Linked DNA regions of Tribolium castaneum. The protein of the gene in region 1 interacts with the protein of each later gene in a pairwise test. Links are inferred from orthologs where the notes say so. Each region holds a gene or a part of one and is shown in the gene's direction. Other genes may lie near its edges. The genes, in order: SF2, nuclear RNA export factor 1 and RnpS1.

Region 1 (3,434 bases):
ATTGTTAAAAGCAATTTTTTTCCACATTTGTGAAAGTAAGTAGTATATGGGCTATATGGCGCTTCATGAGTCTGTTTTTTCTAACATTGTTGGTCTGCGTATTTTATGATTTTTTTAATTGTCATATATTTTTCGTAATTAGCAGCCTCTCTACGGGTGTCTTTTGTTGTATTAAATCTTCGAGCAATTTGGGCCCATGTTCCATTTTTTTCACCGAACGTAATCAAGTATCTTTTTTATAATTTTGAACAAAATTGACCATATTTTTTTTGCGTTTAAAATTGCTACTTCGGTTTCTTTAATTTATCTGTTAACGATTTCAATAAAATTATAAAGTTATGTATATTAATAACGTTAATATTAAAAATGTTAAGCGATAAGCCAATGCTTAAGCGGCCAACATCGACCGGTTAGTTAAACCAATACTAAGCTTTAGCTTAGTCGATATTTCGTATCTGACCACACGGTGCCCCTAGTTTGGGACACCTCTCATTAAAAATTCCTACATTTGATCCTTAAATTCGATTAGGCGTATGAAGGTTATCAATTGTACCAAATTTTGTATTTTTATCTGAAACGGTTTCTGAAATATTGAGGAAAACCTACATGTTTATAGGAAATTTATGATTAAAAATAAATGTTCTATTACCTATTATACAAATTTGTAACAATAAAAACAGAACAGCCTGCATATCGGGCAATAACTCCGGAAGTATTAGACGTAATCTTATTAAGTTTATTCAAGTCAACCTCTTCATATTCTACTATAAAAATGGCCAGCTGAATTCAAACTTGGTCGCACATCTCTCAATGATGAGTTTTGTGAAGGATGACCAAAACAGTAACCACGGATAAAAACCTCAAAAAAATGCAAATTTCGATATTGGATAATCAGCGAATGAAAGTGTATGAGGTAGCTAAGGTGATAGGGATATCTGAGAAAAGGGTGTAGTTTATTTTGCACCAAGAATTAGATACGAAAAAATAGTGTGTGAAAGGGTGTCGCAAAGGCGCTCTGGCAATGGAAAAATTGACGAATTAAAAACATGAATTATTAGAACATTCTTTATATTCGCCTGATTTGACTTCCCCAGACTTCCACAATTAAAAAAAAAATGTGATTAGGAGAAATTATCACTCGAATGAGGAGGTAATAGCGACTATAAATAAGTATTTTGCAGAACTACCAGAAAGTCACTTCAGGGATGGGATTAAAAAACTAGAAACACATTGCACTAAGTGCGTTGAACTAAATAGAGATTATACTACAAAATAAATGCATATATTTGAATTAAAAAAAAACGAAGTCTTTTAAGATGAAAAAAATCGTAACTTAAAAACTATTGGGAATGTGGTGATTTTATCGACACCAATCGATTCCCCGGATCTTTTTACATAGGCTTACATCAAAATATTTACAATTGAATTTTTGCAGGGTTGCCACCGTCGGGCTCGTGGCAGGACTTGAAGGACCACATGCGGGAGGCTGGAGACGTGTGCTTCGCGGACGCGTTCAAGGACGGTTCAGGCGTTGTGGAGTTTCTCCGATACGAAGACATGAAATATGCTATAAAGAAATTGGACGATTCGAGGTTTAGGTCACATGAGGTAAGAGTTGTTTGGTTGTTGAGGGATTTGTGTTTTAATTTGGCGTCAGGGGGAGGTTTCGTACATAAGGGTGAAGGAAGATCGTGGGGGGAGTGATAGACGGTCAGGGGGAAGGTCACGCAGTCGTTCATATTCGCCCCGTCGGAGGGGTTCCCCAACATACAGTCCGGTCAAAAGGAGTTACTCCAGAAGCCGTTCTCGCTCCTAATTTAATCTACTCTACGGACTGGCCTTTTTGTATAATGTACGTATCAAAAAAACCGGGGATTTTTTTAATTTGATTGATTTAAAAAAAATGCAAGAGAAAAAAAGCGGTTGGTAACCCTGGAATTTGTATTTGTAAATGTGGGTATTTTAATTCTTCTGACATTCCTGGAAGAATCGTTTTTTTCTCTCCTCCATTCTTGTAATTTTTTAGACTTAAATTTTATAAAAATTTTCAATTAGGTTAGAGTACGGATAAGGCACTAATATGTATTGTTTCTTTTTTCTGTTACCGTACAATTTGCTGAGTCAATCAGCGTTGGACTGGTTTTTGGAAAAAATAATAAAGTCGATAGTAAAATAATAGACAATAAAATGTTATCTTTGACACACCCGGATGCAAGAGGAGTGGATGAATGTTGTTAGGAGGGAGTCTCAAAGATCGTGGAGGAGGATATTTAAACTTTTAACACACTAAGCATTGCATTTTTCGGAGTGTTGAGAGGACACCACACAATTAAATGGCTCGGTAAATAAGTTATTCAATTTTTCTAACAATGAAACACAATCATTTCAAAAAATTAACTGACACGTTTCTCATTGAAAAAACAGTGTTTAAACGAGATGTTTTGCAATGCGATAGGTCTCACAAACACGGGATTTTGATCTCCACTTCACCGGAAGGAAAGGACAAACTCCTAGGATTAGGATTTTTTAAATAAATTGTAGTAATTTTCGGGGGATTTTAATACTTTTCCTAGGATTTTGGCGATGAAGTGGATTTAAAACTGTTTGAGGATTAGGATAGGATTACTAGGATTAGGATGAGTGTACCGGAAGGACCTCGTGGATTTGTTCCCAGGTATTTGAGACTTCTTTTTCGTTTTTTATTAATATTTTTTTATCATTTTGCTTGACAAAAAGTGTGGCTTTTTGTTGTTTTCACAATTGCATGTTTATTTCAATAAAAAATTCTCAACTACAACGTCTTTTATTCATTATCATATATCCTAACGATATCCAGCGGTTTGGCGGGAAGATTCGTAACCGGACACTTCTGGTTGTCCCTCAAATACCGCAAAATGCAAGGAAAGCAAAACACGTATCCGGAAACAGGAAGAACAGTCGGTATTTTCCAAAATTGTAAACAAATCGGACATTTATTGTGATAATTTCGGGCTTTCCCATCGAGCTAAACAATCAAATTAGCACTACTACCAACACTATCACTAGACTCACCATTGGTGGTTTAACAGTTGGCAGCGCCGTCACACTATAATTCTGGTGAGCGCTCCAGGCTTGCAAAAACTGCAAGAAAAACGCCCCAAACTCGAAGGTACTTGTAACCGCGTTTTTCAAAATATTCAATTGCCACAAATCCGCCAAATGCCCTTTGAATAAAAGCGACCAGAAACTTGGCTCAGGTGGAAGTGGCTCCGAATACGCCAACTTGACATCAATCAATTGAAGAATCGGCAATTGAGCTTCGGTTTGTTGCGACATGTATTTAATATAATTGTAAACTGTGAGCAGCCCCCATGTTATCTCAAACGTGGAGTGGGACAAAATTAACAGTTTTTTGAACCGGCCCTCGAAATTCTAGGGATTTTTAGTAGTCGGGT
Region 2 (3,756 bases), on another chromosome or scaffold:
ACTACTACAAAAGCCAGTTGAATGACTACAAAGCACCCACAAGCCCGTCAAGTGATTCGGACGACTTTGACCCCACGGATATTGAGGGTGAAACTGTTTTTGCCGAAACTTTATCACTCTATAGGCACATGAGACGCGACTTGTTATTTAATTTATCAGATTATGTCATGTTGGAAGTCAGGTCACAAGGTAAAGCCTACAGGAGGGAAAGGTGGTCCTCTATGAATGTCGGTAAAGACATCAAAGGCCTGTCTTTAACACCCACAGCCTGCCCTATTTTCGAAATCGTGGCTAAACGACTACACCAACTGCAAAAAACTCTAGCTTCGAAACTTTTTACGATAGTTTGGCGCTCGGTTGCGCAACAATTAGATAATTACCTCTTTGAGGATCTTGTCCTTGATAATAGATTTAACACTGGAGGCGCTTTGCAGTTAAAGTATGACGTAACAAGGAATTTACTGCCGTTATTTTCGCAATATACCGAAAGGCCCGAAACGTATTTCGTCCAGTAAGTTATTTACTCAGTCGGTAAAGTGGAAAATAAGAACTGTTGCAGACTGATTGAAGCTTGCAATCTTTTAAATATAACTAAAGGGTCCGCTTTGCTACTACGAGAGACTCTCTTGGCTCTTGAGGGGGCCACAGGTATTGAGGACTCCCGCGGGAGAGCCCTCAAGGAGGTTGGGGTGGTCAGCTTCACCCCAAAAATGGCCGTTAAGATTCTAAACCAGCGCACCGACATTACTGTTAATAGGATGGACGTTGATTGAAGCATTTATACGTTTTGTTGAGAAATTTTATAATAAATGTTTTCCCCACCATTGCATTTCATTGAATCACCCTGTAAGTGAATCTAGAGTAGAGTATAAAATGTTACTTCTGGGCCAGAATATTTGGCGTCTTAAAAAACAAGTCAGAACCTTACAAATTTCCTGTACTCTACTATTCAAAAGTCGGTGATTTTCTCAGGGAATTTGGCCTCGCCTTGTTGGCAGCGCGTATCAATGGCGTTTACTTGTCGAAAGTGAAGTGGTGTTAAATCAGGCTCAAAAAAATTATTAAAAAAACAATAATAGTTATAGTTAAGTGCTAGTAAGTAATTGAGACGCTACTATGGCCTCAAAGGGCGGAAAATACAACAAACCGTCGTGGAGAAGCCAATACAGTGGTAAGTCCCCAGCACACTCCACGCGATTCGTTTAAAACGCAGTAAATTGCCAGAGCATGATTTTCGCGGCGGTGGCGAGACCCGCAAAGTGAGTTTCAAGTCAAACAAGTATAAAAAGGACAATAGAAACTGGGCAGCGGCGAGTAGGGCGTACCTGGAAGATGAAGACATTGACATGGGGGCCTCGTCCGGGGGCGGGCGAAACTTCAACCGGAAGCAGTTTAAAGGCAGACGGGGCGGTCGCGGGGACTCGCCCGTGCCCAATCACAAGAAACGGCGGCTTTTGGAGAGCCCCTTCGGTTGGTACCGCGTGACAGTAAGTGTATTAAGTGAGGCTTTTTGGGGGTTTTACACGTGTTTTGCTAGTTGCCGTTTGGGAATAAATACGAGAAGGCGTTCGTCTTGAAGACGCTGCTCGAGCGGATCCAACCTTTGCCCTTGTGGCCAATTACGGTAATGGTTTGTTTGTGTGAGGGTTTTTGACTGATTTTTTGTCTCCAGTGGAGTGTAAACGGCACAACTGCCACTTTTTACATGGATGAGTTTAAAGCCGCGGAAAAGCTGTACGATTTAGATCGCCAGATTCAAATGCCCGACGGGTTTAAATTGCTGATTAAGGTCAGTCATGGGATGCCAAATGTTGACGTTAATAGTGAGATGAAGGAGAAAATTAAATTAACGATGGCTAAGCGGTACAATGCCGCTAATAAAGCGCTCGATTTAACGAAATTCCACGCCGACCCTGACCTACAAGACAATTTCTGTGTACTGTTCAAACCGATCATTTTTCTAACAGTTTTGGAAATAATCGCGGAGAATATCCCAGAAATTGAAGCGATTAATTTATTCGATAACAAAATAGCAAACTTGTCGTATTTAAAGAAGACCAATGAGAAACTGCCCCATTTAAAAATTTTGCATCTAGGAAATAATAAGGTAATGTTGTTGCCCAAAATCGGGGATTTTGTAAATTTGGGGATTCAGTTTAAGGATCTGTCAATGTTGGACCCTTTTATTGGACTACCTATCGTCGATATTGTTTTAAATGGAAATCCATTATGCAACAAATACAAGGACCAAGAGGCGTACATTGGGTAATGTTGAACTAATTTATTTTTTGTAGTCATCATGTTATGAACGTGAATGCATATGAGGGTGACTGGTTATCGGAGATTGTCACTTGAATAAAAAAGAGGTTTTCTGCCAACAATGGAATAAAAGTACTTGAAAATTATTAACGAAATTTGTTGTTACGCAAATTTCAAAGTCCCAAATTTTCGCGATAATTTGTTTAAAACTTAAGTAGCATTACATGTGGCTTCGTTGCATTGTGGCTGAATTCTGCATTTGGCAACCTTTTAATATTATTGTTTGACTATAATTAAGTCACTGAAGTGTATAAAAATAAAAAAAAATCACATACAAACATTTCCATGGGATTACATAATTTTTGTTTTGTATTATCAAAGTGAGAGGAGGTTTCTCAAAGGTGCGTCCTTACAGCAGTTACGAAGCTTCGTAAAGCGATAGCTGGACAAGCATTGCAAGATTTTGCTGTCCATAAACAATGCAGTTAGTTTAAGAAGACAGAAGAACTACAAGGAGTGGACCAGAACACTTAAATGTGTATGTAATTTGGCAAAAATGCTTGTAAATCAAGCAGATTGTCTTGTTTTTCTGCACCTTAAACAATCAATGACTCCTCATAGTACAATAATTATTATATTTTTTTGTTTTATGTAGTAATCTTATGGAATTGATACAAGACATAATAATGAAAAGAAATACTAAATAATACCGTTAAAAAATTGAAAAATTATATGCTCTTCAGTGGCGATTTATTCTAAATTTATTAGTTTTGTTGTTTAATGCAGGAGTAATATAAATTGTTGATCGTGTAATGCTGTTTTAGTTTTAAATTTACGAAGCTTGTCTTACTTTGAAATTGTGTAACAACTGTCTGATCGGTTGCAAAATTCCTCGGAGGTTTAATTCCCAAAATAACAAACTTCAATAAATTTTGATTGTTTAACACTTTGTACAAAATTAGATTTTCGTAAGTTTTTGAATTAAACTGAAGAGGGCACAAAATACTGGAGCTATTGTATCCTATTTTTTTTCAAATAAATAATGTGTTAGGAAATGAGAAGTGGCTGAAAATACGGTACAAAAATCACTAACTCAGAATTTGTGACTAAATCAATTTCCGTTCCTAGAAAAAAAATCAGCATAAAGCTGTATTTATTCTTTTTCATTTACATAATAATTTTTTTTTCGCCCAAATACTTCTTGAATGAGTTTATCCCACTAATTCACAATTGTAACATAGTTATAATTCCGTTCCTAGAAAAAAATTCAAAATAAAGCAGTATTTCTTCTTTTTTTATTTACATAATAAAATATTTACAACATATTTACATAATAAATTATTTTTGCTTAAATACTTGAATGAGTTTCAACGTTTCATCAAGGGTGGATTTTATAATCGTCAGATAAACCCCAGATAATTTATTTCTAGTATAATTACTATGGTTACAATTGTTATAACAATGTATTTTTCAAAATTTATTTCTTAGATAAAGTAA
Region 3 (3,453 bases), on another chromosome or scaffold:
TAAATCAGATTATATGAAATTTTTATCTAATTTTTTAATAAGCACAAACCTGAACTAATCTACGAAGCGAATTTTGTCATGAATCATTTTTCAATTTTTCATAAAATTGTGCGTTTGTACTAGTTTTAATAAAATCACCAGAAACGTTATGTTGAATAAAATGGTTAACATTACTTGTATATTTTATTAACGAAATGTCGGGGACGTAGACACCTTGTTATTGTAAGACCGCTGTGTAAACCCACTCCGAAAAATGGGCGCCCTTGCGATATTTTTTGTGTCAATATTAAAGAGTATTTTTGCTGCAGTGCCAATTGAACGAGCTGAAAAGTGCCCAAGCCCCCTCGGCCCTCCGTTCAACCCTGCTCGATCCTGCCGTGAACTGCATCCTTCAGCAGCTAAAAACCGAGCTCCAATCGACCCGTTCCGAGCTTGAGGACACCAAGAACGAGCTAACGGCGTGGAAATTCACCCCCGACTCGAACACGGGCAAACGCCTGATGGCGAAATGCCGCCTCCTGTACCAGGAGAACGAGGAACTCGGCAAAATCACGAGCTCGGGCCGCATCGCGAAGCTCGAGAGCGACCTGGCGCTGCAGAAGAGCTTCTCCGAGGAGGTCAGACAGAGCCAGAACGAGCTGGACGCGTTCCTGGCCGACCTGGACGAGGACGTCGAGGGCATGCAGAGCACGATCCTGTTCCTCCAGACGGAGCTGCGCAAGACGAAAGAGAGCGCCCAAGTGCTGCAGAAGGAGAACAGTACGCTCAAGCTGGCCAATGGGCGGTCGAACGGTGACAGTGTGTGTGAACAGGAACGGACGGACTCGGACTCCGAGGCGGAGAGGACTACTTGTGTGAAACGCGTGCGAAGGTCGTCCGTCCTCAGTATCGACTATAACGAGGACGACGCCCTCGTCATCAGCACGAACGGTGACGTCGCGATGGCCTCCGACCCAGAATAGTGAGCTGAGATTAACCCAACTATTACGCATATAAACTGACGAACAGTATATTCAATTGTACATAGAAATATACTAGCCTAATGTGGTTGTTTCGAATTGTGACTTCAATCATTACTAAATTGTGTTGATCACTGCGGTGCAGTTGCAGAATTTTTTCTATTAGTTTTGGCAACAATGCAATATTTTATTACTTTCCCCCATTCAAGGTGTTATCAAGGTGCGCTTTTTTATCCATTGTTCGCATTTTATTCATTCGACCGACTCTGTTTTAAATTTGTCAGATTGTATCATTTTTTAACGTTTTTATGTTGAAAGTTGTATTTATAAAATAAAACAAAAATTATATCACTTATTATTGACCACGGTGTTTTACTTGTAGCTGCGGGGGTGCAAAATTCAATCTCCCACCGTTGGTGTAGCAGTTACAAACTTAAAGTCACCAGAACAGCGCTACCAACATCAAGTGGTCGTAGTAGCGTCGTTTTGCTAATTTTCCACAATTACACAGTTTTTCATGTAGTTTTCATACTTCCGCGTTAATACAGTGAAAGGTTTTAGTTCTAAACTTGTCCCGACTTTACAGGAATCAAGAATAGTCAGAAATGTGAGTATTTACGTTTTGAGGTTATGTTTGTAGTCCGGGAGGGCTTTCCACGATTTCCTTGTAGTTTTAGCACATTTTAACTCCCATGCATCACTTGTGTTTGCTCGATTTGCTTCCTTCAAGGTTCTTCAAGATCAAGATAATTTGTATTACAACAACTGACTTGTTTGTTCACTCCCGGACACCATTACTTTTTACAAATTTTTTGAGTTGGTTTTTATTGTTCTTAGGGCAAAAATAGGTTCTGATACGGAAAAGGACGACAAGGATAAGAAGAAAGAACGTGGTAGGGACCGTAAACGGAAGAGTGAGTCTGGTTCAAGCAGCAGCGATAGCAGCAGAAGGTAACACCCGAGTTTGAAGAGTTTGTAATCACCTAAAACACTTGATTTAGTTCTTCCGACAGTAGCTCGTCCAGCTCGCGCTCTTCGAGCAGTTCCAGTTCGGGCAGCAGTTCCCGCTCGAGCAGTTCCTCCTCGGAGTCCTCAAGCTCAAGCAGCGATAAAGACCGCAGTCGCCCCAAACGCCGTTCGCGCTCCACCAGCAAACCCACCCGACGCAGCAAAGAGCGCAAAGACAAAGACAAGGAAAAGGAGAAGGAAAAAGATGTCAAAAAGGACGATAAAGACGAGGTCAAAGACAAAGACGTCAACAATCGCAAATCCCCAGCGAAAGACGACAAAAACCACACCCGTGGCAAGTCTCGTTCGCGCTCGCGCTCAGACCGGCGCAAAAGGCGTCGCAGGTCCCCCACGCCACGCCCCACGAAAATCCACATTGGGCGTTTAACACGCACCATCAACAGGGAGCACATTATGGAGATTTTCGGGACGTATGGACCAATCAAACATGTGGATTTCCCCAAAGACCACATCCACCCACACTTGGGGCGGGGCTTCTGCTACGTGGAGTTCACCAATGCGGACGATGCCGAAAACGCGATGAAACACATGGATGGGGGGCAAATTGATGGACAGGAGATCACGGCGGCTCCGGTGCTTGTACCCAAGCCGAGACCGCCCCCCATGAGGCGCAGCCCCATGCCGATGCATATGAGGAGGCCTCCGCCCCACAGACGCACCCCGCCCAGATTCCGGAGGCGGAGCCCCATGCGACCGATGAGGAGGAGCCCGCCGAGGAGGCGCCCCCATTCCAGGAGCCCCCCGCCCAGGCGCAGGAAGCACAGCCGCTCCAGTTCGAGCAGTTCCAGATGATTTTTTCGATTTTAATTTTTTAAGGTATTGTAATGCGTGAAAAGGAATAAAACCGGAATTAAGGTATTGATAATCAAAGATTGATAAATGATAAAATTATTATTTTGTCATATTGGTATTACCACGTATTGCCTATCACATAACCTAGCTTTCTTCAAATAATTGTTACAAATGAAATTGATGGAAAATTGATGAAGATGACTCGTAAATCGTTTAAGTGATGTCTGTCTCACATAATTGTGATGAAAACCGCCGAAATCTCTTATCTGAAGTAATAATTTATTTTGACATAACCTCAAATTTAGCCTTTGCTCCAGGTTGAATCAGCAATATCTAACAATGACCTTGCCACCCTCAAGCAGCTTTTACCGCACCCTTTTGACCAAACCACCCTTCAGGACGAAAACGGCAACAACCCTCTGCACTTATCCATAATTTACGAAAAGTATGATCCCCCCTAACGTTCAGTAAATCCCTACCAAGTCCTGGTTTCAGGAACGCAATTTTTGACTACTTGCTTGATAAATTCGACTTGGAGGCGCAAAACCACTCCGGACACACAGCCCTATCCCTGTCCCTGCTCTACCACAGCGACATTTTCATAATCGAGTACTTTGCCCTGGAACTGATCCGCAAGGGGGCCAACATTGAGGTAGTTTTTAGCGATAATAAC

What was found.
Region 2: the proteins of SF2 (region 1) and nuclear RNA export factor 1 interact in binary tests that used the Homo sapiens proteins (3 or more experiments, as listed by UniProt). The link is inferred for Tribolium castaneum from reciprocal best matches to the Homo sapiens genes SRSF1 and NXF1.
Region 3: the proteins of SF2 (region 1) and RnpS1 interact in a two-hybrid assay, tested with the Homo sapiens proteins (2 studies listed by BioGRID and IntAct, with this or other methods). The link is inferred for Tribolium castaneum from reciprocal best matches to the Homo sapiens genes SRSF1 and RNPS1.

Annotation. Positions count from the first base shown.
Region 1 is NC_087401.1:8,584,708-8,588,141, reverse strand, and holds the end of SF2 (serine/arginine-rich splicing factor 1A), read left to right. Parts: intron 1-1,435; coding exon 1,436-1,608; intron 1,609-1,657; coding exon 1,658-1,816; 3' UTR 1,817-2,797; downstream 2,798-3,434. Other genes in the region: Pex12 (peroxisome assembly protein 12), read right to left, coding at 2,804-3,004, 3,052-3,411. UniProt on the Homo sapiens protein: Plays a role in preventing exon skipping, ensuring the accuracy of splicing and regulating alternative splicing.
Region 2 is NC_087399.1:3,671,214-3,674,969, forward strand, and holds the start of nuclear RNA export factor 1, read left to right. Parts: upstream 1-979; 5' UTR 980-1,116; coding exon 1,117-1,171; intron 1,172-1,224; coding exon 1,225-1,487; intron 1,488-1,537; coding exon 1,538-1,624; intron 1,625-1,672; coding exon 1,673-2,107; intron 2,108-2,155; coding exon 2,156-2,265; intron 2,266-3,756. Other genes in the region: Rint1 (RAD50-interacting protein 1), read left to right, coding at 1-511, 560-773.
Region 3 is NC_087399.1:5,873,533-5,876,985, forward strand, and holds RnpS1 (RNA-binding protein with serine-rich domain 1), read left to right. Parts: upstream 1-1,407; 5' UTR 1,408-1,564; coding exon 1,565-1,566; intron 1,567-1,796; coding exon 1,797-1,910; intron 1,911-1,960; coding exon 1,961-2,780; 3' UTR 2,781-2,858; downstream 2,859-3,453. Other genes in the region: fl(2)d (pre-mRNA-splicing regulator female-lethal(2)D), read left to right, coding at 309-962; ankyrin-3, read left to right, coding at 3,001-3,051, 3,098-3,225, 3,276-3,453. UniProt on the Homo sapiens protein: Part of pre- and post-splicing multiprotein mRNP complexes. Auxiliary component of the splicing-dependent multiprotein exon junction complex (EJC) deposited at splice junction on mRNAs.